4 linked regions of the Arabidopsis thaliana genome follow. The protein of the gene in region 4 interacts with the protein of the main gene of each other region in a pairwise test. Each region holds a gene or a part of one and is shown on either strand. Other genes may lie near its edges.

Region 1 (3,743 bases), on a different chromosome or scaffold from region 4:
TTTTCTGTTTTTTTTTTAGGTTTTTGTTCGTTTAGTGTTTGATTTCGTTTTAGATCTGGTTTTAGGTTGTTTTATTAGAAGAAATCTGGAGAATAAATCATGTTTAGAAGTTATTCCTCTCCCTTAAACACGATTTTTTTGTTCGTTTTAGATCTGGATTTAGGTTTTTGAAATGAATAGTTTTTGGAAACTTTTATAACGCTTAAAAAACTATTTTAAGTGGATGATTGTGCCTTTTCTTAAATACGATTACTGTTTACTTATGTGGTTTTGTTTCTTTTTTAAATCGTTAAACAGTGCGAAATCGGAAGGTTCGGGAGTGACTTTTCTTCTCGGAACTAAGGATGCTGAAGCCGCCGTTGCGAAAGCTGTTGACGCCGGAGCTGTGAAAGTGGAGGTTACGGAGGCAGAAGTTGAACTGGGATTCAAAGGAAAAGTTACGGATCCTTTTGGTGTCACTTGGATCTTCGCGGAGAAGAAGACCGTGATCACCGACGAGAACAAAGAGGTTTAGAATCTGTCGTCGGATCTAATTCTTCGTCGGTTTCTGAACAAAAAAAACTATCTATTATCCTAGGTTTATGCTTTTATTTTGTCTTTTGTGGAATCCGGTAATCAGTAAACCGGATCGAGTAGGCTAATGACTTTCGGATTCTAATTTCACCCCTTTTGACAAACTCTAATCTTGGTGAAATTGCATATTAATCTCGGGCTATATTATGTTTTGTTGATGATTTCGCTTCTCTATCTATCTTCTATAATCGTTCTGTGTTTAATCTGTGTTCTTTGTCATTTTTGTTGGTTTAGTACTAAGGGTATAATCGTCTATTTGGAATGAAAATGAAATGGTTAGTGATTAGATAAGACGGAATTAAGAATATTTGTTGTTTTGGTGTCAGAGTGTTGAATACTGTGTCAGAGGTAGTGAAACCATAAACCTCTGTATTTGTGCTTTGTGGTTTCTCTCTATCGCTTATTGGTTACATATTTTTCGAAATTGCCCTTCCGTGTTTGGGCCTTGTGTAGTTTTCGATTGGTCCTCTTTCTTTTCTTTTGACCAGTTTTTGGGGTTAACCCATAAACGCCATTTGGCAGAAAATACGATTTATTAATAACATCCGATATTTAGAATAGGAGTAATAAAAAACATAAACACACGTATACAGAGTCTTTTAACAAGTTGGGGCGTTGGCTAGACCACACTGTTTGGGGAGAGCAGAAGCGAGTTCAGGATCAACACCGAAAGAACCGAGCCATGGAGAGTTCTTGTAACCACAAAGACATGCAAAATCAGCGTGTTGCAGAGCGGTGCAGCAAGGCTGTGATGGGCTCGTCGGATTCTCCTTGCTAACCGCTGGTTTGCACTCATTCAACTCATCCTGGCTCATGCCGCAGAGATCTATCGCTACTGATGTATCGACCAACATAGCCATTATCACGATCATCGCCATCATAACCATAGCTGCTTTCTTGCTCGCCATATTATTATCCTCCTCTCTCTTTTTCTATATGTTTGTTTGTGTTTGTGGTGTTGAAATGAATGTGCATGAGAAGGTGTATATATATCAAGTTTTAGAGAAACCCGTGAACCAGATTGGATTGCTCCATATAGTCACGGGGATGTGTTTTTCCACTTTACTTTTGGGAGAGGGTCTTTTGTCATAGAATCATAAGCTTTCGGATTCTTATCAATTATCAAGTATCGATTACACAATTTCCAGTCCACAAATCTTTTACTACAAATGGAAAAAGAAAATTCAACTTGCACATTGTATTTGTATATAAAATTCTCTTTTAATCGAAAAAAAACACATTAATAAACATCCGCAAAATACTGGGCCTGATATGAGCCCAAGTAAGAGTACTCTAAGAAGTTTCACAAATTACGAAAATAAAACAGTTAGCGAGTATTACTGTTAAGTGTCAACAACAGTTAGCTACTTTAACCACAAAACAAATGAGAACATCAGTTAGTATATAAACGGGACAAAATATAGAACGAAGAATAAATCCAAATCTCTAGATTCTCAATTTTTTTGCTGTTCTATTTTCAAATAAATGTTTTATTTTCTTTGAGAATTTCAGTCCTATTAGTGTAATTAGTGATAAACTCATAAGCATGGCACATACGAGATGATTATTTGGTCTACGAAATGGTTTAGTGGATTTAATATATGTATTTTTATAGTTGATACTTTTTCACCATCTAATCGTTTTTCAACTACAATTACTGTTTTTACCGGCGATCACTGTTTTACCGAAACCTAAAAAGTAAAAACTGTATAGTGGCAATCATTATTTTACCTAATTCACAATTATCTTCTTTTTGTTAAAGAGATTTTAGGAAAAGCAAATTAGGCCTTGGCCAACGAAGGTTAGAAATAGAAAGACTATAACAAATGACCAATTTTAAAGGTATATGAGCCAATGGAAAAGAATAGAAAAAGGAGGAGTTCATTCTTCATAGTCAAAACCATCAAAATTTCATTTGCAATTAGATTGAGATCTATTGTTCATGATGAATTTGATGCAACAACAGCATTTTCATGACTTTGTTTTCTCTATTTTCATACTATTTTTTGGTGAACTTTTTGTGACGTTTTTATGATAAGTATTTTTGATTTTATAGGTTTAGATCATTGATATTATTTTGTGAAGTGTGAACCATAGCTATGCGATAATCTCGGTATGAATCTAAGCGAATCCATTAAAATATCCTTATATTTAATTAGAATATTCCATTAAACATGGTAAATAATAAACAAACAAAGGAAAACACCATAATGCTTAACAAGTTGGGGCGTTGGTTAGGTCACACTCTTTAGGGAGACTAGAAGCGAGCTTGGGATCTACACCAAAAGAACCGAGCCACGGAGAGTTTTTGTAGCCACAAAGACAAGTGTAGTCAGCATGTTTCAGAGCGTTACAACAAAGTAACGATGGGCTCGTCGGGTTATTCTTGCTCACCGCTGGTAAGCATTCATTCAACTCTGCCTGAGTCATGCCACAAAGGTCAATCGCCACTGACCTCTCAACGACTAAACTAGCCATCACCATTACAATCACCATAATTGCCACCTTCTTGCTTGTCATTTTATCCTCTTTATTTTTTATATATTTGTTGTGTTTGTGGTGTTAAAATGAATGTGCATGCAATGGTGTATTTATTATTAAGTTTTGGAGCAAACCCGTGAACTAGATTGGATTTTCTTTCTTCACTTTTGGGATAGGGTATTGGTCACTTGGATTCTTATTATTGCTGCTCTTTTTTGTTTTTTTTTGGTATTTATCAATTATCCACAATCTCCAGCCCACAAATCTTTTACTACAAAATGGAAGAAGAAAATTCCAGAGTAATACAACTGGCACATTGTGTAAATTTTCTTGATATTGATAAACATATGTTGCTTCTTACAAATATTTGTGGATTAATGGCAAGTAATTTGTATGCCACTATAACCAAGAAAAAAATACAACAGTTATTTGTATGTCACTTGCTGATTATTTGTCACTTTTTTTTTCCGGTTAAAATTTAATTTAAATTTATAACATAATATTATATTTACTTTTAAAAACTAATTTAAAATAAAATATATCTCTATAAATAGTAAACAATCAAACAGAAAATTAATAAAACTAGTCATGAATTATTGTTTTTGTCTAAATCTTATTATCCGTACTTGCGAGTATCTAAATTACGTTATTTGTTATTTACTTGATAACGATGAATCTTGTCTAAGGCG
Region 2 (5,229 bases), on a different chromosome or scaffold from region 4:
TGTCTAGAATATTTAGATAAGGTTAAGACTAGTTTTCTATGAATAGAAGAAAGTGTAAAATATATAAATAAACATACTAATAACAATTAACAACAGAACCAGAACCAGAAAATTCACATTTCTGTGCTTTTATTATCTAAAATTCACTTCGAAAAACATGAGAAAAAAGAGTTGGCTGACGTGGAATATTCGTCTAATAGTAGCCGACCAACGTAGCCAAAACGATAAGGTTTGCCACATGGCAAAACGATAACCATGGAACTGCATCTCCTGTCTTTTGTTTGGTTGTCACAATTTGTCATTTTTATTGGGATTTATTGTTTTGTTATATTTTCGTTTTCAGTCTAATTGTCAGCAATTTTCGCAAAAGATATGAAATTTTGGATATGAAGAGAAAATGCAAATGATTGGTGGGGACAACAAACGTGGCATTATGTGAGTGGTTGAGCGAACAAACGGCTATATGCTGAGATGGATTGGACGGTGACGATACGTTTGTCGGAGGGATCGGGTCGGTTAGTCACGCGCGCCACCCATTCACGTGTCACCTTTTGCCAACACAGACCATATGATTTTAACCTCAGTGGAATCTCGACCCACCCCACAAAACGGCACCATAACTTTACACCCTGGTTTTAGAGAGTGATATACCAACACAACAATTATGAAAAAGGGTTCGTTTAGGCTTTGGTTACTTTATGTTAGTAATATCAACTTAAATGCTAATTTGAGTTATGTGTGATAAGATATACGACGAATCAATTTACTTATCGTCAATTAAGTTTGAAATGAAAGTTTGTGAACGAAATAGTTTATGCTTCTTTAATATTGTGTCATAATTTTGAGTTCCGGCTCTAACATCTTCAAGTAGGGTTTTGTTTTATGACACCTCAAACATACTTAATAACATATGTTGGTGATAGAAAACTAGACCTTCTAGACTACAAAAATGTTTATAATGTAAGAGAATGACCATATATCTATCTATTTTGAAAACAAAGTGTTTTGACTTTGGTGAACAAGAAAAATGTTCTCTATATATACAATGAGACACTCGAATATAACCATGCATGATTAGTTGGATTTGGAGTGAAGAAACTTAGCCATGCTTCGTTGGAGCAAAATAAGGTTTTGGAGTTTTGTTATGTGTTTTCAAGAATGTAAATGCTGATTCGATAAAAAAAAAAAGTGGACGTAAGTTATTTTAAAATGATTTGGCATACAAAAACTGTGGCTTTTTAAATCTGAAAAATCGACAGGCTATGATATTATACGACAAAAAGAAGAGAGCACCATATTGATGATATAGTATATTGGGTCGGTCCTAAAGAAAATGACATTTAGGTGATGGGGGCGGCGAGGCTAAGTTAAAGTAAACAAAAAAAACCTCCATTATTTACCAGAAAAACATATAAAAATTTGATTGACATAAAAACTAATAAATTATTTCAAAGTTGTGGTTCTGATAGCTCTCCACCATCACCACTGATTGATACTTCCTATTGCTACGAGAGATAAAACTATGCAAGTTTATATGAGTGGATATAAAGTCTTGTTTTATGATATCATAAGCTAGCTAATCCCATATCATTATCATGTATTTATAGACGCATGTTCAATAGATTTGGATCAATCTTTTTGTCATGGACTTGGTGCAAACTATAACGTTAAATAGAATAAACTATTCTAATTTAGGATCTAAAATAAACTCGAATCAAATTTTAAAGAAATTTACTGGCTAACTTATTTGAATTTTTCAAATTTCAACGATTGAAAAACTCTAAGTCTGAAATTAAACTAGGGTTCTTGTCTTTACGTATTAGTAACTATGTATGATATTGATATATCAAGCAATCATTAAATAGAATTGGTTCAAAATTTATTTCAGGACAGCTAGTTCATAATCATTTTGTCAAAGCTACTTCCCTCATAATAATAATAATCATAACTCACTCGTATACTTTTATATCCAATTTTTTCATTGAAAATACAAACTTTCATTCCAAAAAAAAACCTCAATACACAAAAAACCAAAAAAACATATAACGTTGGCAAAAATACTAAAAATATTTTTTAAAAGATAAAGCAATAAAAAAGTATACAAACAAATTAACAAGAAGGAGAGCTCTCACTATAAAACAGAGCACATGTTCTTCTCACTAACCACTCCAACAGAGAAGCAAAAGAAAAAAAAGCTATTGTTTGAAAGAAGAAGAAGTTAACTATGGCAAAGGATGTGGAAGCCGTTCCCGGAGAAGGATTTCAGACAAGAGACTATCAAGATCCGCCACCAGCTCCGTTTATTGATGGAGCGGAGCTAAAGAAGTGGTCTTTCTACAGAGCAGTTATCGCAGAGTTCGTAGCCACTCTCCTCTTCTTATACATCACCGTTTTGACAGTCATCGGTTACAAGATTCAGTCCGATACTGATGCCGGTGGCGTAGATTGCGGCGGAGTTGGAATCCTCGGTATCGCTTGGGCCTTTGGTGGTATGATCTTCATCCTCGTCTACTGCACCGCCGGTATCTCTGGTATGATCCTTCTTTAATCTTGATTTTGGTTTGGTTTAGATTAAGATTATACACTTTTTGAGTATTAGAATTACAATTAAACCGAATAAGCTGAATAAGTTTTACTTATGTAAGTACAACTTGCAAACTCAAAATTTAGACAAGTAAAAATTATATGGTATGGTTTTGGTTTGTTTATTCGAAATTAATTATTTTGCAAGGAAAAATATTGCTTGGTTGACATTACTATTTAATCGGTTTAAAATCTTAGGTTTAAAAGACGAAAATGATTTGTTTATAAAACATTTAATAAGGGTCATGATCAAATCGGTTCTTATCCGAATGATATATATCTAATCTAAGCCTAGTAATTATTTTAAGCAACTGACTAACCCTGTCTTAACCAGAATTGAAACCGGTTAATTAATTGCTTGTTGTACCTTAATTCTCAAGTACTGGTAACATTGTCAACTCTTTTTGTTTCCTTAGGTGGTCACATTAACCCAGCGGTGACATTTGGGCTATTCTTGGCACGTAAAGTGTCGTTACCTAGGGCCCTATTGTACATAATCGCTCAGTGTTTGGGTGCGATTTGTGGAGTTGGTTTTGTCAAAGCCTTCCAAAGCTCTTACTACACCCGTTACGGAGGTGGAGCCAACTCTCTAGCCGATGGCTACAGCACAGGGACCGGTCTAGCCGCAGAGATCATTGGTACTTTCGTTCTTGTCTACACCGTCTTCTCTGCCACTGACCCCAAACGTAGTGCCAGAGACTCCCACGTTCCGGTGAGTCACATATGTAGTGCTATTAATCTTCAATATGGTTAACCGACTCAAAACCGGAACCAAAGCAAACCAAACCAACATTTGATTTCAATCATACTAATAAATTTGAATTTTGATGAAATAAAAGGTGTTGGCGCCACTTCCAATCGGATTTGCCGTGTTCATGGTACATTTGGCTACCATTCCCATTACCGGAACCGGAATTAACCCGGCAAGGAGTTTCGGAGCTGCCGTAATCTACAACAAGAGCAAGCCATGGGATGACCACGTAAGACCTCAACGTTTCTCCATTACATTCAACTATATTTTTCATTTTTACAAGGGAATAATGTTTTGAAATTTTGGTGATTACAAACAGTGGATATTTTGGGTTGGACCATTCATTGGAGCTGCGATAGCTGCATTCTACCACCAATTCGTTCTGAGAGCTTCAGGTTCTAAGTCTCTTGGATCATTCAGAAGTGCTGCCAACGTCTAAACACATCAAACCAGATTTCTCAAGAATAAATGAAGTTGTGATCTCTCTGTACAAATCTAAATCAGTCACTTGCAGTTTTCATTTCCCTTTCTTATATTTGTGTTTTCCACTTGCTCTTTTGTGAATTTTCCTTCGGTGTAATTGTTTTTTCTTTCGCTTTTAAACGAGTGATTGGAATTATAATCAATGAAATCAAAGAGGTTCTTATGCGTTGTGTTTACATTAATACTAGTACTAAAGTTAGTTTCCTTAGAGAATAACAACACCATGGGGCCATGTTCTTGGTCTTGTTTACGTCCTCCTCAAGATGCTCAGTGAATAAGCAGGATTTTGGAGAAACACATGTCTCTGCTTTAACGCAATCATTATCTTTCTAGAAAAGACCATTCCTTTATGTCTTCATACATCTCAGGCGGATAAAGCCTAGCGTGCACCAGCAGTAAGTTTTAGTTACTCTCTGAAACCGCCATTGTCCATTAACCCCATATGCCTCAAAGGCTCACAGAAACTGTTACATTCAAGATTCAACATACTTAGTCGTTTGTTACTTGACAATTATGAATCATATAGGAAATGCTCGAACTTGGCTGAGGATTGAGAGTCTTACCCTTCAGAATCTGCATTTTTTATGAGAACGTGAAGAGGTGTGGCCGCTCAAAATTGGCCTCTTGGTGGCCTAGCCTCAGCCTCTGAGACTGCCTACCATCCAAATCCTTTAATTACGAAAGTAAAACATGTGTTAGATGTTTGATCATTTACTGTAAGAAGTACTAATCGAATAAATTGTTATGCGAAGAAGAGAAATGATGATACTACTGCACCATTCAAAGAATTGATGGAGTTTTGAACCTCTCGGGAAGAGCTGAGTGTCACAAACCCAGTAGATCAGATTTGATATCGAGAAAGTTTCTAAAGGGACCTCATACAGTAGTAAGAAAATGACGAATGTAGTGATACAATAGGCTGGGATGCTTACGAACGATTTATGTTGTTTACTCTGGAGATGCTTGGCGGACAATTCAAAGATTTGGCAAACAACATCGCATAATGTACAAGAAAAGGCATATTCACCCCATCTAATACACGTCTCCCGAAGCTTCCTCTGTTCATTAACCGTAGACGAGACCTTCCTGAACCCGTTGCATCTGTGTGGGAAACAAAAAGAAGAAGGAGAAAAACTTGTTGTGCTGGTAAATTATTTCACCTGTGAGTGAGAGGACAAAACACACCTTCTCGTAAGTCTTCTGGCCAGAGCCACCGTGCTGGAAATTTTGGAGGAAATGGACATGCCTGAAAAGTTGTGTCTCCCCTCCGACGTTTGTCCCACATTACAAACGTTTGATCAGGTAAATCCGACCTTGTTTATTATCGAACCTGTAACACAAGAGAGAAGCTTTAGAGAAAGATGGAGCTATCAGCGGAGAGAGGAGATCAACAGAATCTTCGAGCGCAAGTA
Region 3 (7,143 bases), about 16 Mb from region 4:
GCTCCTTGTTTAGGGTTTTGCCTTGAGAAATCGATTCTTCCATTTGAGTGATTCGGTTGTATTTCTTACGGAGAGCACGGAGACGCTTGTTGATGAGACCCATCACTGGTCCTTCAGAAGCTTCGGAGGAAGCAGTGGCGGCCATGATTATGGATTTGTGTAGGATTGTCGATAAAAAGAGGATCGAACTGACCGTATAGAAAATTCACCACCGTTGAGTAGCGGCGGCGGCAGTGGCGGAACAAGAGGAGGATTTGTTAGGGTTTTCAGAGAAATGGGGATAAGTTGAAGCGTCTGGTTTTTGGGTAGTGATAGTTTTGAGCTAAATATATAATAATTGATGAAAAATTCCAGTAATGCAAGTGAAATTATCCGTCTCAAAACAAAAGGAAAAAAATAAATAAATAGGAGTGTTCTATTTTCAACTATTTTGTGTAGATTTTTTCAAATTATTTTTGTGGATTACGTTTCTTGTATAAAAAAATTATTTGTCAATTTATTATTAGTTACTTGGAATGACATAGGGTATTTGTATTATTTTAAAATTGTATCAAGAGGCACTCTCTTTTCCTAAATGCAATACTTAATTTTATTAGTAAATATACCATTTAAAAGGGTAATATGTAAATAGGTAATTTTTGAAATACCATGTATATAATGACAAGTACATAGGTAATTTTTGAAATATCATGTAAATAATGAGTTTTAAGTTAAGAAATGAAATACGGTATTGTTACATAATAAAAACAGTTTGAAATTAAGATATTATCAAAGTTGTTAGGATATTGGGAAATATTCCACTTTTTTGGTGTACTTTAGATTCAATTTTATTCTAGATCCTTCTAGATACATAATGTTGTTTAAATATTCTGTAAGTAATTAGAAAACTCCAATCGTAGTATCGTACGTTTTTTTTTTTTTTTTCGTCAACGTAGTATCGTACGTATACATTAGGAATTATTCCTCTTTTTGTATATTCATTCTGTATATGACTTGATATTAAGGTCTTCGTATGCTTCATGATTTGTATTTTATGTTTAACGATAGCTTAATGGATACTTTAACTTGGAGATAGTTTCAACTTCTAACCCCTTTAACATTCGTGAATTGTGACAACAAAGTATTTATAAGATTTCTTGTCACAACTATCGTCTACTGGTCACTAAATCACTATATTAAGATAGGTGATTATTCTGATTTGGTTGTTCACGTCATCCAAACTAAATTTGGCTACATTCGAGTCATAATCTCCATTTACTAGTGAATAACTTATAAGAAATTAATGATTTTTGTTTATGAATCCATGCTCACACAAATAAACCCCCAAAATCCAAATGTTCGTTTACAAAGAAATCGCTTATTTACAAAAACAAACTTGTATTATATTCCCCCAAAAAATAATTTATAAGTCCTTCCTATTATCAAAACTCTTACAAATAGTCTATAGATTAAGCAAGGTTCATGTGCCGACGCCTTTTTTCAATCTATGTAACAACGAGTCTTGTACCAACTACCAACTCTTACTATCTTCTTATACGGTTCATATCATATGCTTCACCAAACAATCACACAATCACTCATTTCTAATTGTCTCGGGTCGATTCTAGAGGCTCGCGCTGGAGGGTAGTAAAATGACATGCAATGTTCCGTTGTTAGGAGGAAGTTGCAAACGAAGAGGAAACAGCTTGCCGTTTAAAGGACTACGAGTACACACCACAGCGTCTTCCATGCACGTTTCTTCTCGCAATGTCTGAGTCAGCTCCGCCACGCTATTTCCTTTAAACGTGAAAGCATATCCAACGGTTGTTTCATCTTCCACGTGTCCTTCCTCGTCAGCGACATGGTAATATATGGTTCGTCCATCAGATTTAGGCGGAGACTCAACCGACTGGTCAAAATCAAAATCAAAATTTTCAATAACCGGAAAACGGTACAACTGTAATTTTAAACAAAACCAAAGGTGTTTTAGGAATTTAGGAAAAGTACTCACATCTGAATCGGATCTGTCTGAAAGAGAAGACGAAGTCCTTGGAGACTCAGCCGACAACGGCGAACTCGTCGGTCTCCGATGCGGCGGTGGAGACGTCGTCTTCGGTGGCGGCGCTTTCGCAGACTCCGTCTTGAATTCGGAATCAGTCAAGATCTCAACAACATCAACATCCCAAGAAATCGAATCCTGAGTAGCAGACAAATGAGGAACGTCGTGTGTGACCGAGTTTCTCCAAGGAGGAAGACCACCATTACCTCGTAAATAGTTACCAGATCTAGTCCTAAGCTTAATCTTAGACCCTTCTCTAAGCGGTTCCCACTCAACAGACGAATCAACCCGACTCAGTTTCAACTGAATCACTTTCTTCCCCGTAGCCCCGAGCAAGAACCGCTCGTTAGAAGCGGTTAAGTACTTACCGTAACAGCTTTTAAGACGAATAACATGGAAAGAATCACGAACCGGTTCGACGGTCCATCGAGCGTTTTTGGTAGATCCGTTACGGTTTTGAGTTACGGTTTCTTCATCGTCGTCTGCTGTTAGATACTTGTTGTGACTGTTACGCATTCGAATAGCTTTTGCTTTCTGGAAAAATTCCATTGCTGAGACAGATACTGGTGTTTCTTTTTGGTTGAAGCTACTCGCCGTCGACTTCTGTAACAACAGAGAAGGGGAAATGAGCGAATAGTGATAAGAAGAAGAAGAAGAAGAAGTGAGAGATATGGTTATTTTATATGTGTGGTGGATCTGACACTGGACTGGTCTAAATTGGGTTTTTTAGTTTTTTACGGTTACGCGGACTAGGTAAGGTAAGAAATCTGGAAAAGTCGTTGCTAGCTGGATTAGAGCGCGTATCTAATATCCACGTCAGCAGAAATTTATGATTTGGATTTCTTTCCTTATTAGTATTTGTTAGAGCTTGTAACGCGTTGTTGTTTCACGTGTTTTGGATTTTGTTACTTTGTAATGTTTGTAAATCTTGAGATTAAAGTTAATTACGAGGATTCCAAGACACCAACTATTGTTAATTTAAACAGATTTTCAAGAAACAAAGCAGGATTTAGATTGTAACTAAAGTTTGTATTTGATTATATATAAAAAAATCAATGCTTTGAATTTTTCTTTAAAAAATTTGGTGTTAAATCTTATAGGAGAAGATGAAAAAAATTGGCCTTAAATTGTGTTTTATTTTTCTATATATCTATTAATTACTACAATGACTTTGTGAAAACTTTTATCAGTTGGAACAATTTTCTCTTACATATCTTCCAATCATTCATGATGTTTATTTCAGATTCTTCAATTCATAGAAGATTTAAACATAATACTAGGAGTCAATGTTGACTATTGAAGATTCATTTGAAATAATAATAAAAGGTATGGTACATACATTTGGTAAACTTTTATTTGCTATGTATATAATAATCTATATGAAGAGAATAAATTACGATAGAGATAGGTAACCAAATTTCCCAATAAAGTATCATTTTACATTGTTACTCTATACTTTTTCCATTATCTTTTAATTTTTCAGTACGTATTTAGTTCTATGATAAGATCAAAATCGGAACTAATGGACGTAATTCTTGATGAATAATATGTGATTTTCAGTTAGATTATAAGCAATTATGTGGTATAAGCAAATCAATATTAAATGGAAAATATTGAAAAATATAAATAAATAATTAAAAAGATAAAAGTATATGCCCTTTTCCCCAAAAATAATAGTGTCCCTATGCCATAAAAGAATGGATCGAAAAGATAGGATTTAAGCGAATATTTAGAAAATAAATCTATAAACCCTTGCCCGCAAGAAAGACCAAGAGAGGAAATTCATGAGTGTGGGACTCTCCTAATTGCATCCCTGGACCATATGCTCCATCACTAAATCATAACTACCAACTTTTTTACCTTACTTTTTGTTACACTTGTCTTATGTTAACTGGCACTAGATTTGTTTATCTTAAGCCATTAGGTACAAGTTTTTATTGTTAAGGAATAATAATCGTATTTTTCTTCTTTAATCATCCTTAGGTATAGCTTTTGTAAGAAATATACAGTCACTTAGTTACATTTTAGAGGTTCTACTACAAGCATTTCAAAACTATCCTTCAATCATTGAAGTAAACTTAAGTTGGATTGTTAAGTGTCATATTTTCAACTATAGTCTATTATAATAGATAAACTAATCAAAACTATACAATTAAAAAATCCTATACATTTTGGTGGTATTAGGTTGGTAAAACGATGTGTGTGCTTGTGGAGCATTATCTATGTTAGTGGAGAAAAGAAATGATACAGATCATGTAATTTTCTTTAAATTGTAGATACTAATACGGGTAATCCTCATCTTTTTTTCCATATGTTCATGCATGCCAACTAATTTCTTATATACAGAATTGTCTAAGTTCAACTCACAATAATAAATTTCTATATTAGCCTTAATTTAAACACAGAAATTAAGAAAAACTAATCAATGCACACTGAATAAAAGACTTAGTCAAACTTACCGGTTTTGAGGACCATCTCGGAGACGTAGATAAACCAAGAGAAGCAAACCGGCTAATACTACTCTTCGTAGACCTGGCAGAAACAGGTGACCCGGGTTCTGATCCGAATTCAGACCCGACCGGAGAAGAAACAGAGCTTTCATCACCATCAGACATGTTTTCAAGATCAGAACCATCAATAGTTATAACATCCCAAATCAACCAGTTCTTTGTCTTTGACGTATGAGGCTCATCGTGAGTAACAGAGTTTCTCCACGGCGGCGTTCCACCGTTAGCCCTCATCCACTTACCGCACCAAGATTTTAGCTTCACCTGAAACCCATCTCGCTCCGGTTCCCACTGCGTTTGCCAATCCATCAGCTTGTTAAACGACGCCGTTTGAGTCACTTTCTCACCGGTCATACCTAACAATAACGGTTTGTTGCTCGCCGTTAAGTACGTGCCGTGGCTGCTCTTTAACCTTATCAGATTAGGTTTATCGACGACGGGCTCCACCGTCCAAACGGCACGCCGTGCATCTCCTTTACGGCTTTGACGGATGGTTTCTTGGTCATCGTCGGCGACTAAAAACTTATCTAGGTGGCTACGTAACTTAACGTTGTTACCTTTTGTGAATAGCTCCATTTTTTCTTTTGCTTGAGATTTTGAAAGAAGAAGAAACAAAAACAGAGAATTTTAAGTTTGTGAAATGAAGGAGAAAGATGATGTTTGTGTTTGGTTATATAGTTTAATGACAAAAAAATAAGACAGAAAAAGCCTGGCTAAAAGGGTACTTTGTAAGTTAATAGTCGGAGGGATTATGCAGCTCGCAATTATTTAGAAATTTCGCAAAATCAAATGAAGAAAAGACTAATGAAAAAGTATTACGAAGGTTCTCCTCCACCTACGTAACTTGTTGAACATTTTACCTCACGCGCGTAAAGAACGTGATGTGAAGACTTTGATAGAAAATGTCTTAGGTTGTGGTTCAATGTTGGTTCTTTGTTTAAACCGGTATCCGGTTATAGTATAAGGTTTTATGGATGTGATTACAGTCCTGTGTGCGTGATAACTGATAAGTGTCTTTTGATCCCTCTAGTAATGAGTCTATGGACCTTATCGTCGATAAATCCGCACCATAATTCAAATCTTATCAATGTAAATTTGAGAATTTAAATTAATGAGGGAAATGTAAACTCATAGATTCATGAAAACCATGACGATCATGTAATATTGATGAAAGATCAGTTCAGCTAGTTAAATTATGTTATATGTAGCTCCATAATTGAATGGAATAATTATATAATCATAGAAGAAATCAGAATACTACAATAAAACTTCATATTAAATGTTGTGAAAAGAATGTATTTATGAAGAGGTAATGTAGAGCGCGTGGGCTTATTGTGTAGAATTGTCTCTTTTCCGTAGATAGAACCAAGAAAGTCATGAAGTAGACTTGTGAATATTTGTGTAGAATAATTTAGGATTAGTACATTTTCTAAACAGTTGCATATAAATAGATCTAGATACACACAACACATTGCCTTGTTATATACGTGTGACTCCTATCTTTCTGGATAAGCCGAAAAGTATTGATATCAGATTTTTTGGCAACATGTCATAGTTGAGTTTTTAATTTTTTTATATCCATTGGTTGGCTTATGTGGCCGACGTAGGGCTTTGAGAGACTCGGTCTTAATTTGTACCTTCCACACCAAATAAATATATTGGTTTGTTTTCCGGAGAACTCATGAAATTTCAATGTTTTTAGGTGACGCATGTAACTACAAGTCTTAACACTAATTTGTTTATAGTGAATTTCAGAAACATATTAGACGTCTGGTCATTGGTGTATTTTATATGGTATGAGAAAATCACTATAAGATCAACCTTATAAATTCATGGAAGTTTCACGACTTCTTGTTTAAGTGATACACTGATGCATGTAATTTACATGATGTGGATGTGGTTTCGGGTCTGGAGAGCTTACGGGTTTCGGTTCAGAACCTCTTAGTATTAAAAAAAAAAAAGTTACAAGTTTTTAGATATTAAATTACGAAATTAATGTTGGAAGCTTGGTGTAAATTATAAGATATATGTTCGAAAAAAATAATTAATTTTATCAGCCTTTTTGAAAAAATTTATATAGAATTTGCGATACAGTCACTTGACATTTTGGAGATCAATAATGTGGTATTCAATTTTTCTTTGAATGTTATTGAAATAATCTCGTGTATAGGACTAAGATTTAAGTCATTTTATTATTAAAATATAAAATATCTTTATTAAGATAAAAAAAAGTTGCATGTTAAAAATCATATAAAAAATGCAGAAATGGGCGTCCCCTAATCCTTAGACATGTTTCCATGTCGCAATTGAACAACATATCTAACTGTAACATACAGCTTTCAAGATCCATTTTAATGGTCTTCTAGTAGTTTTTTTCTCATAAACATCTTTATAAAATACTAATACAAAGTCAATAGAATGTAAATTTCAATTATATTAACAAAATTATTATTATTCTTATGCATTGACCATAACCATTGACTTATTATAAAACAACAAGACAAATGCCGTTTTGGCGATCAAGCAGACTTGAAATATGAAGATTCCAATGCTTTTGCTTTCTTACCTGCACTTATACCAGCTTTTTCCTTGCCTTCC
Region 4 (5,197 bases):
TTCCTCCCTGTTACATCAAAAAAAATATCAAATTAGTTTATTAGAGATCACAGATCGAACAAAAAGAGAAGAATAAGTTTTTACCGATAAGAGAACTAAAAAGATCAGAGATTGGTGACAAAAGCTTCTTCTGTCTGTTTTTAGGAGCTTTTTCATATTATCTGAACAAATCCGTCGGTTTGGTTAGGATGACGTGGCAAAGCCACGTAGATATTTGGGTGGGGACTTAGAAAAAATGGTGATTACGTTATCCGTATGCACGTGAGATATGGGGAAGCCACGGACGTATGTGCCACTGTGACAGCTTCTTCTTTCACGACCCATCATCTCTAACTCTTAAAGCTTAGCTTTTCCTAACCAATTATTGTATGCCACATGTCGTAGCTAACTCCGGACCAAACAAAAACTACAATTATCCGACTTGGTTAGTTCGTTAATTGGTTTTATTATTTTTCACATGAACTAAAACACATAAATAGTACTTGAATGTGTTAATTCTTATAATTTTACATTTTTAAGAATTTTATTAATGACTAATGTGATGTTTTCTTTTCTATCAAGATTATATTAAAAGCTAATGTTACAAAACAAGAAATATTAGAGTCATGAGACTATATTTGAATATAAAAAATATCAGTGTAAAACGACATTTACTAAGAAACAAAGGAAAAAGTACACTAAACCGAATTTAACCGATTTACCATTGATTCCAGTTTTTGTCAGTTAGTAAAAAGCAATACTGATTATACATACAATAGTTTTAGTTTTGTCTTAGATTAGTGAGATATATATTTATGTTTCTCAAGAGATAGAGAAAGCATAACGATTAAAACCAAACAAAAGTTTAGTTAGATTTTTAGATTGGATTCAATAGGATTAGTTAAAATCAAAATGGTTTGGTTTACCTTATATATTATACACGCCTAATAAAGAGTGACAGAAAGAGTGAAAGAAAGAAAGAAACAAAATTCCGATAAAATGAGAAAGGTCACAGATACAAACACCAGATGTTAGCAGAGAGATCCCTTCCCATGCCCATGTTGATGTACAAAACTCTGGTTTTTCGCAAAAGATGGAACAGATTTGACATTCCAGATTCCGATTAGCGCCTGACTTGAATTCAATCGAAGATAATGAGTTATCATCATATCACAATAAGAGCAAGAAGAAAGATGTGGAGGACTTCATAAGTTACCTATTTGTCAAGTTTTTTTGGTGTGCACTTCAATCATATCATGATCCTCCATGCCAAGTTCAGAAGGAGTGGTTGATGGATCAATCTTATCACCGTCAAAAATAAATACAAGATTTTGCGGGTCAAGCTTAGCTTTATCTGTATACAGTTTGATAACCCTCTCAAATTTCTCGTCCTACAAGAAAATGGTAAATACCAAATCAACATTCTCATATTTTACAAGCTTTAACAGAATATGCATATCTATTAATGAGCGGCTCATTGTATGACAGAGAGCAAGCAATATGTATTCTGTGTGTAAATGCTATGTGGTGATGATACATTGATAAGAACATGAACTCGTTCTCTAGTTTATTAGATGAACTCAAAGAATAGTTTAAAGATCCATCAACTAATACACGTCTCAAATACTCGACCCCATTCAATGATTTCTTTAATCCCTGTATTTATACTCTTGCTTTCCTAGAAAGCTCGAAATATCTAGCTATCTAGATAGTAGCGAAGGTGACATAACAACTAATTCTTATCTCTACTAAATATCTAGTATCTAGCTAGAAAAAGTTTGGATAGTAAGCTTATTGTCGATGGAAGGTTGGATAGTAAGTGGCAAGCAGTGAAAAAACTTACCGCAAACACCCGGAGTGTCTTCTGTCCATCTTTGTCCTGTATTGTAATAACAATCTTGGCCCTGTCATTCGTAGGCTCTGATGGTAACTGAGCAGCAGTCTCTGAAGATGGATTGCGAGATTCTTCAACTTCCCTTTTAGCAGACTCCTCAACTTCCTGCATCACATCTCCTACAGTTTTTGTAAATGACATGAGCTCCATCTTCTTCGACCTACGTTACATATTTCATTTATAATCAAATTGTAACACTGGGACTCTTTCCGGATAGCAAATAACACTACCATAGCCTCTAACAGCAACATGGGAAGCTTAGAGATGAGAAATACTCAAAGACATACAAAAGTTACCTCAATGCTTTAATAGTTGAATCTTCAACAGAGTCTTTACTTTTGTCGAAGATAACCTTTGGTGGAGGAAGCAACCAATCGTCATCACCCGTAACTTCAATCACTTTCACATCATCATCTAACTTCTCAACCTATATAAAAAGATTCAAGTTCCAAAAGGAATGATGATAGATTCAACCTATGAATTGTGAAGTACATAATCGAATTGTTCCTTCACTGACATTGATTCAAAACTCTTTACAAGCCCACAATACCAAAAGTATCTATCAAGTTAACACAAAGAGCTCAATGAGACAACAACCAATCAATAAAAATCAATTCTTACTGTTTGTGAAGTTTTCGCTTTCTTCGGAATTGGCGTCACCGAGGCATCATCATCATCATCTACAAAAATTCAAGCGATAATAAAGGATTCATCTTTATCACTGTCGAGTGTCGAGCTCAGTGACCAAATCAAATAATCGAAACTCACCATCGATACAAACGAAATTCGCTGGCTGAACACGACGATAATCAAAAAGTGGCTCTAGATCTTCTCCTTCACCTCCCTGATCATCAATCAGTAATACAAATTCAGAAAAACTCAGGCATCAACACAATCCCACAACAGACAAAATTAGGGTTTTAAAAATTGGGGTATTGGGAATTCATAAAATTCTCACCATTGTTAGCGAATTTGGATCTTCTTCGTCTGTTTTATCAGAAACCCTAGATGAATTTGGACAGATTTTGAATTTGAATATTATTTTGCTGTGATTTTTGAAAAGACAAAAGTGATTTTGAATTTTGATGAAGAGAGGCATCGGCGATTAAGAAGCACCTCTTGGGTTTATTATTTGTTTGTTGGGCCTGTTTAGTGGGCCGAGTTTTCATTGGTTATCACACTTTTTTTTCAGATTGGTTTAATTGGGTTGGGTGACCATCATAGTTGATTGCGTATTTGTCATTTGAGATCTGTTGTACTTTAGTAGAATTTTGTTGGTATTTTTGAATGCATGACAATAAAAGATGGTACAACAAGACTCATCCTAAGTCTTTAGTAGAGAAGTCCATGGGAAGCTCTACATGAAGGTTATAGTAAACCAAACCGAGAAGGCACAAACTCGGCTTTACAAAATCAGGCCAAAAATAAGATAACCGGCAAATAAAAAGGGTTGGTGAGGCTATTCAAACCATACCTAAGTAAATTGTGTTCGATGATCACGAGAGAGAAAGAAACAAAGAAAGGGAGACAAAGCGTTTTCAGAGACTATGAGAGATCATGGAACCCTAGCTAGTAGAGTAGAGGACTAACCTTATTACCAAGATTTTTTATTTACATGTTGTTACAACTTACAAATGAATAAAAGATAATTAATGCAAATATAGTCTTGTTAATGCCAAAGTTTTGTTTCATGAAATAAACACGCTTCTAGCCTTTCATGATCACCCTCTTTGTCTCTTTATGTAGTTTTTTTTTGTCGTTTCTTATTGATGTGTGTTTCTTCTCCTCTCTCTCATAAGTCATAATACACTTAATATGTAGTCAATAATATTCCTAGTTTCATACATTCTTGTTTGCAATTCTTTAATTTTTTTTTGTCAAGAGTTTGTTATTCTTATATCTGCGAAATTGTATATATTTTTAAGAGTTAAATATCATAGTCAAAACCCGTATAAGCATAATAGAAAAGCCATGAAAGCTATATCGGGAGGTGGAATCTTACCTATGAGATTATGTACCCAATCAATCATCATTCGGAGAGGCCACAAAGAACAAACCCGAGTCCGAAACCGATTTGATCGATCATTGTCGATGTTGTAAGACCCTCCTTCGTCTACGTTACTCTCGGAAACACCTAAGTTAACCTCAAAACGACAAATGGGACAAGTGTTGTGAATGTTCAACCAAGACACAATGCAGCTTGAATGGTACAAATGCAAGCATTTCAATTCTTTTCCTTCCTCTCCAACTTCAAATTCCTCCTTGCATATCGCACAAACCTTCTCTTTCACCAAATCTTCATCCGTGATTATCACCGTCCTTACAGCCTCGATGGCGGATTGCGAGGCTGGTGGTGGACCGATTTGTACACTAGGCATGACATCAGCGAATTCCTCGTCAGTATTATAAACTAGATCATCATGATTGAACCGGTTACTTCTTGGTTCGTTGATAAGATGGAGAGTGATCCAATCGGTATCACTATCCCAATAAGGTCGGCTTGGCCTCATAATGTCAAGCTCATCGTGAAGATTGATCTCTCTAGAACAGAAAGGACATATGGGACCATATAGACCAAAGCTTCTTAGCCTAATGGTACGGCTACAATGGCGACAATAGAAGTAATGGAACGTTCTTGTTCTTCTTGTTCCATTCACAATAACTCTTGGACGATAAGCAGATGTCATGTTTTCAATCTTTTTATTTTTTCGTCGGTAGGATCTTTATATATGCATTTATAATTAAATACGTGTACATGTTTTCAAGAAGAGGCAAGACAAAGCCTATACGAGTGAATGAGTTATTCTTTTCTGTGTTTAGGTTGGTGTCGTATGGTCTCTGCTATGTCAACTTGCGAATCTTTTAGTGATTTGTCTTGTAGGAATCAGAGATTCAAAAGGATGCTTGGAGAATCAATTACGATAAAGGGTTTTAGGTTTGGAGGAGAGTTATTTGAGCGGCCCATTATGGGCCCATTCCAACTTACTAGTTCATGTACATATTGTATGACTCAGAAGTGAAATTAATTAGACCCAAATAAGATTTTACAATTTATTATTGCTCGTTAAAAAAAATCCATGCAACATCTTATGAAGTTGTGGATGTGGTAGTACAAAGGTCATATGCACATAATAACTTACATAGATGGTTCAATAAATCATCGTTAGATAGAATAATAATGTTAATATTCACTTAATCAAATATACTAACAACAAGTCGTTCAACATATATAAATGATGGTTGATCAAGGGACATTTGTACTTAATGTTGGGAGATTGTTGACTGTGATATCTTTGCTAGTCTTATTTGTTTCATTATGATCCG

The links.
Region 1: the proteins of AT1G68185 (region 4) and DIR1 interact in a two-hybrid assay, tested with the Arabidopsis thaliana proteins (one study listed by BioGRID).
Region 2: the proteins of AT1G68185 (region 4) and PIP2A interact in a two-hybrid assay, tested with the Arabidopsis thaliana proteins (one study listed by BioGRID).
Region 3: the proteins of AT1G68185 (region 4) and AT1G27100 interact in a two-hybrid assay, tested with the Arabidopsis thaliana proteins (one study listed by BioGRID).

Annotation. Positions count from the first base shown.
Region 1 is NC_003076.8:19,645,145-19,648,887, forward strand, and holds DIR1 (Bifunctional inhibitor/lipid-transfer protein/seed storage 2S albumin superfamily protein), read right to left. Parts: upstream 1,697-3,743; 5' UTR 1,482-1,696; coding exon 1,173-1,481; 3' UTR 884-1,172; downstream 1-883. Other genes in the region: AT5G48480 (Lactoylglutathione lyase / glyoxalase I family protein), read left to right, coding at 298-514; AT5G48490 (Bifunctional inhibitor/lipid-transfer protein/seed storage 2S albumin superfamily protein), read right to left, coding at 2,788-3,093. UniProt on the Arabidopsis thaliana protein: Putative lipid transfer protein required for systemic acquired resistance (SAR) long distance signaling. May interact with a lipid-derived molecule to promote long distance signaling associated with SAR.
Region 2 is NC_003074.8:19,802,450-19,807,678, reverse strand, and holds PIP2A (plasma membrane intrinsic protein 2A), read left to right. Parts: upstream 1-1,948; 5' UTR 1,949-2,224; coding exon 2,225-2,531; intron 2,532-2,999; coding exon 3,000-3,295; intron 3,296-3,422; coding exon 3,423-3,563; intron 3,564-3,653; coding exon 3,654-3,773; 3' UTR 3,774-4,206; downstream 4,207-5,229. UniProt on the Arabidopsis thaliana protein: Water channel required to facilitate the transport of water across cell membrane. Probably involved in root water uptake. Its function is impaired by Hg(2+).
Region 3 is NC_003070.9:9,405,954-9,413,096, forward strand, and holds AT1G27100 (Actin cross-linking protein), read right to left. Parts: upstream 5,416-7,143; 5' UTR 5,122-5,415; coding exon 4,498-5,121; intron 2,642-4,497; coding exon 1,991-2,641; intron 1,889-1,990; coding exon 1,604-1,888; 3' UTR 1,132-1,603; downstream 1-1,131. Other genes in the region: AT1G27090 (glycine-rich protein), read right to left, coding at 1-145; AT1G27110 (Tetratricopeptide repeat (TPR)-like superfamily protein), read right to left, coding at 7,065-7,143.
Region 4 is NC_003070.9:25,554,179-25,559,375, reverse strand, and holds AT1G68185 (Ubiquitin-like superfamily protein), read right to left. Parts: upstream 2,994-5,197; 5' UTR 2,973-2,993; coding exon 2,832-2,972; intron 2,718-2,831; coding exon 2,642-2,717; intron 2,554-2,641; coding exon 2,495-2,553; intron 2,301-2,494; coding exon 2,170-2,300; intron 2,034-2,169; coding exon 1,823-2,033; intron 1,371-1,822; coding exon 1,203-1,370; 3' UTR 1,196-1,202; exon of another isoform or gene 1,110-1,195; 3' UTR 843-1,109; downstream 1-842. Other genes in the region: BBX27 (B-box zinc finger family protein), read right to left, coding at 1-7, 85-156; AT1G68180 (RING/U-box superfamily protein), read right to left, coding at 3,751-3,773, 3,876-4,560; UMAMIT23 (nodulin MtN21 /EamA-like transporter family protein), read right to left, coding at 5,118-5,197.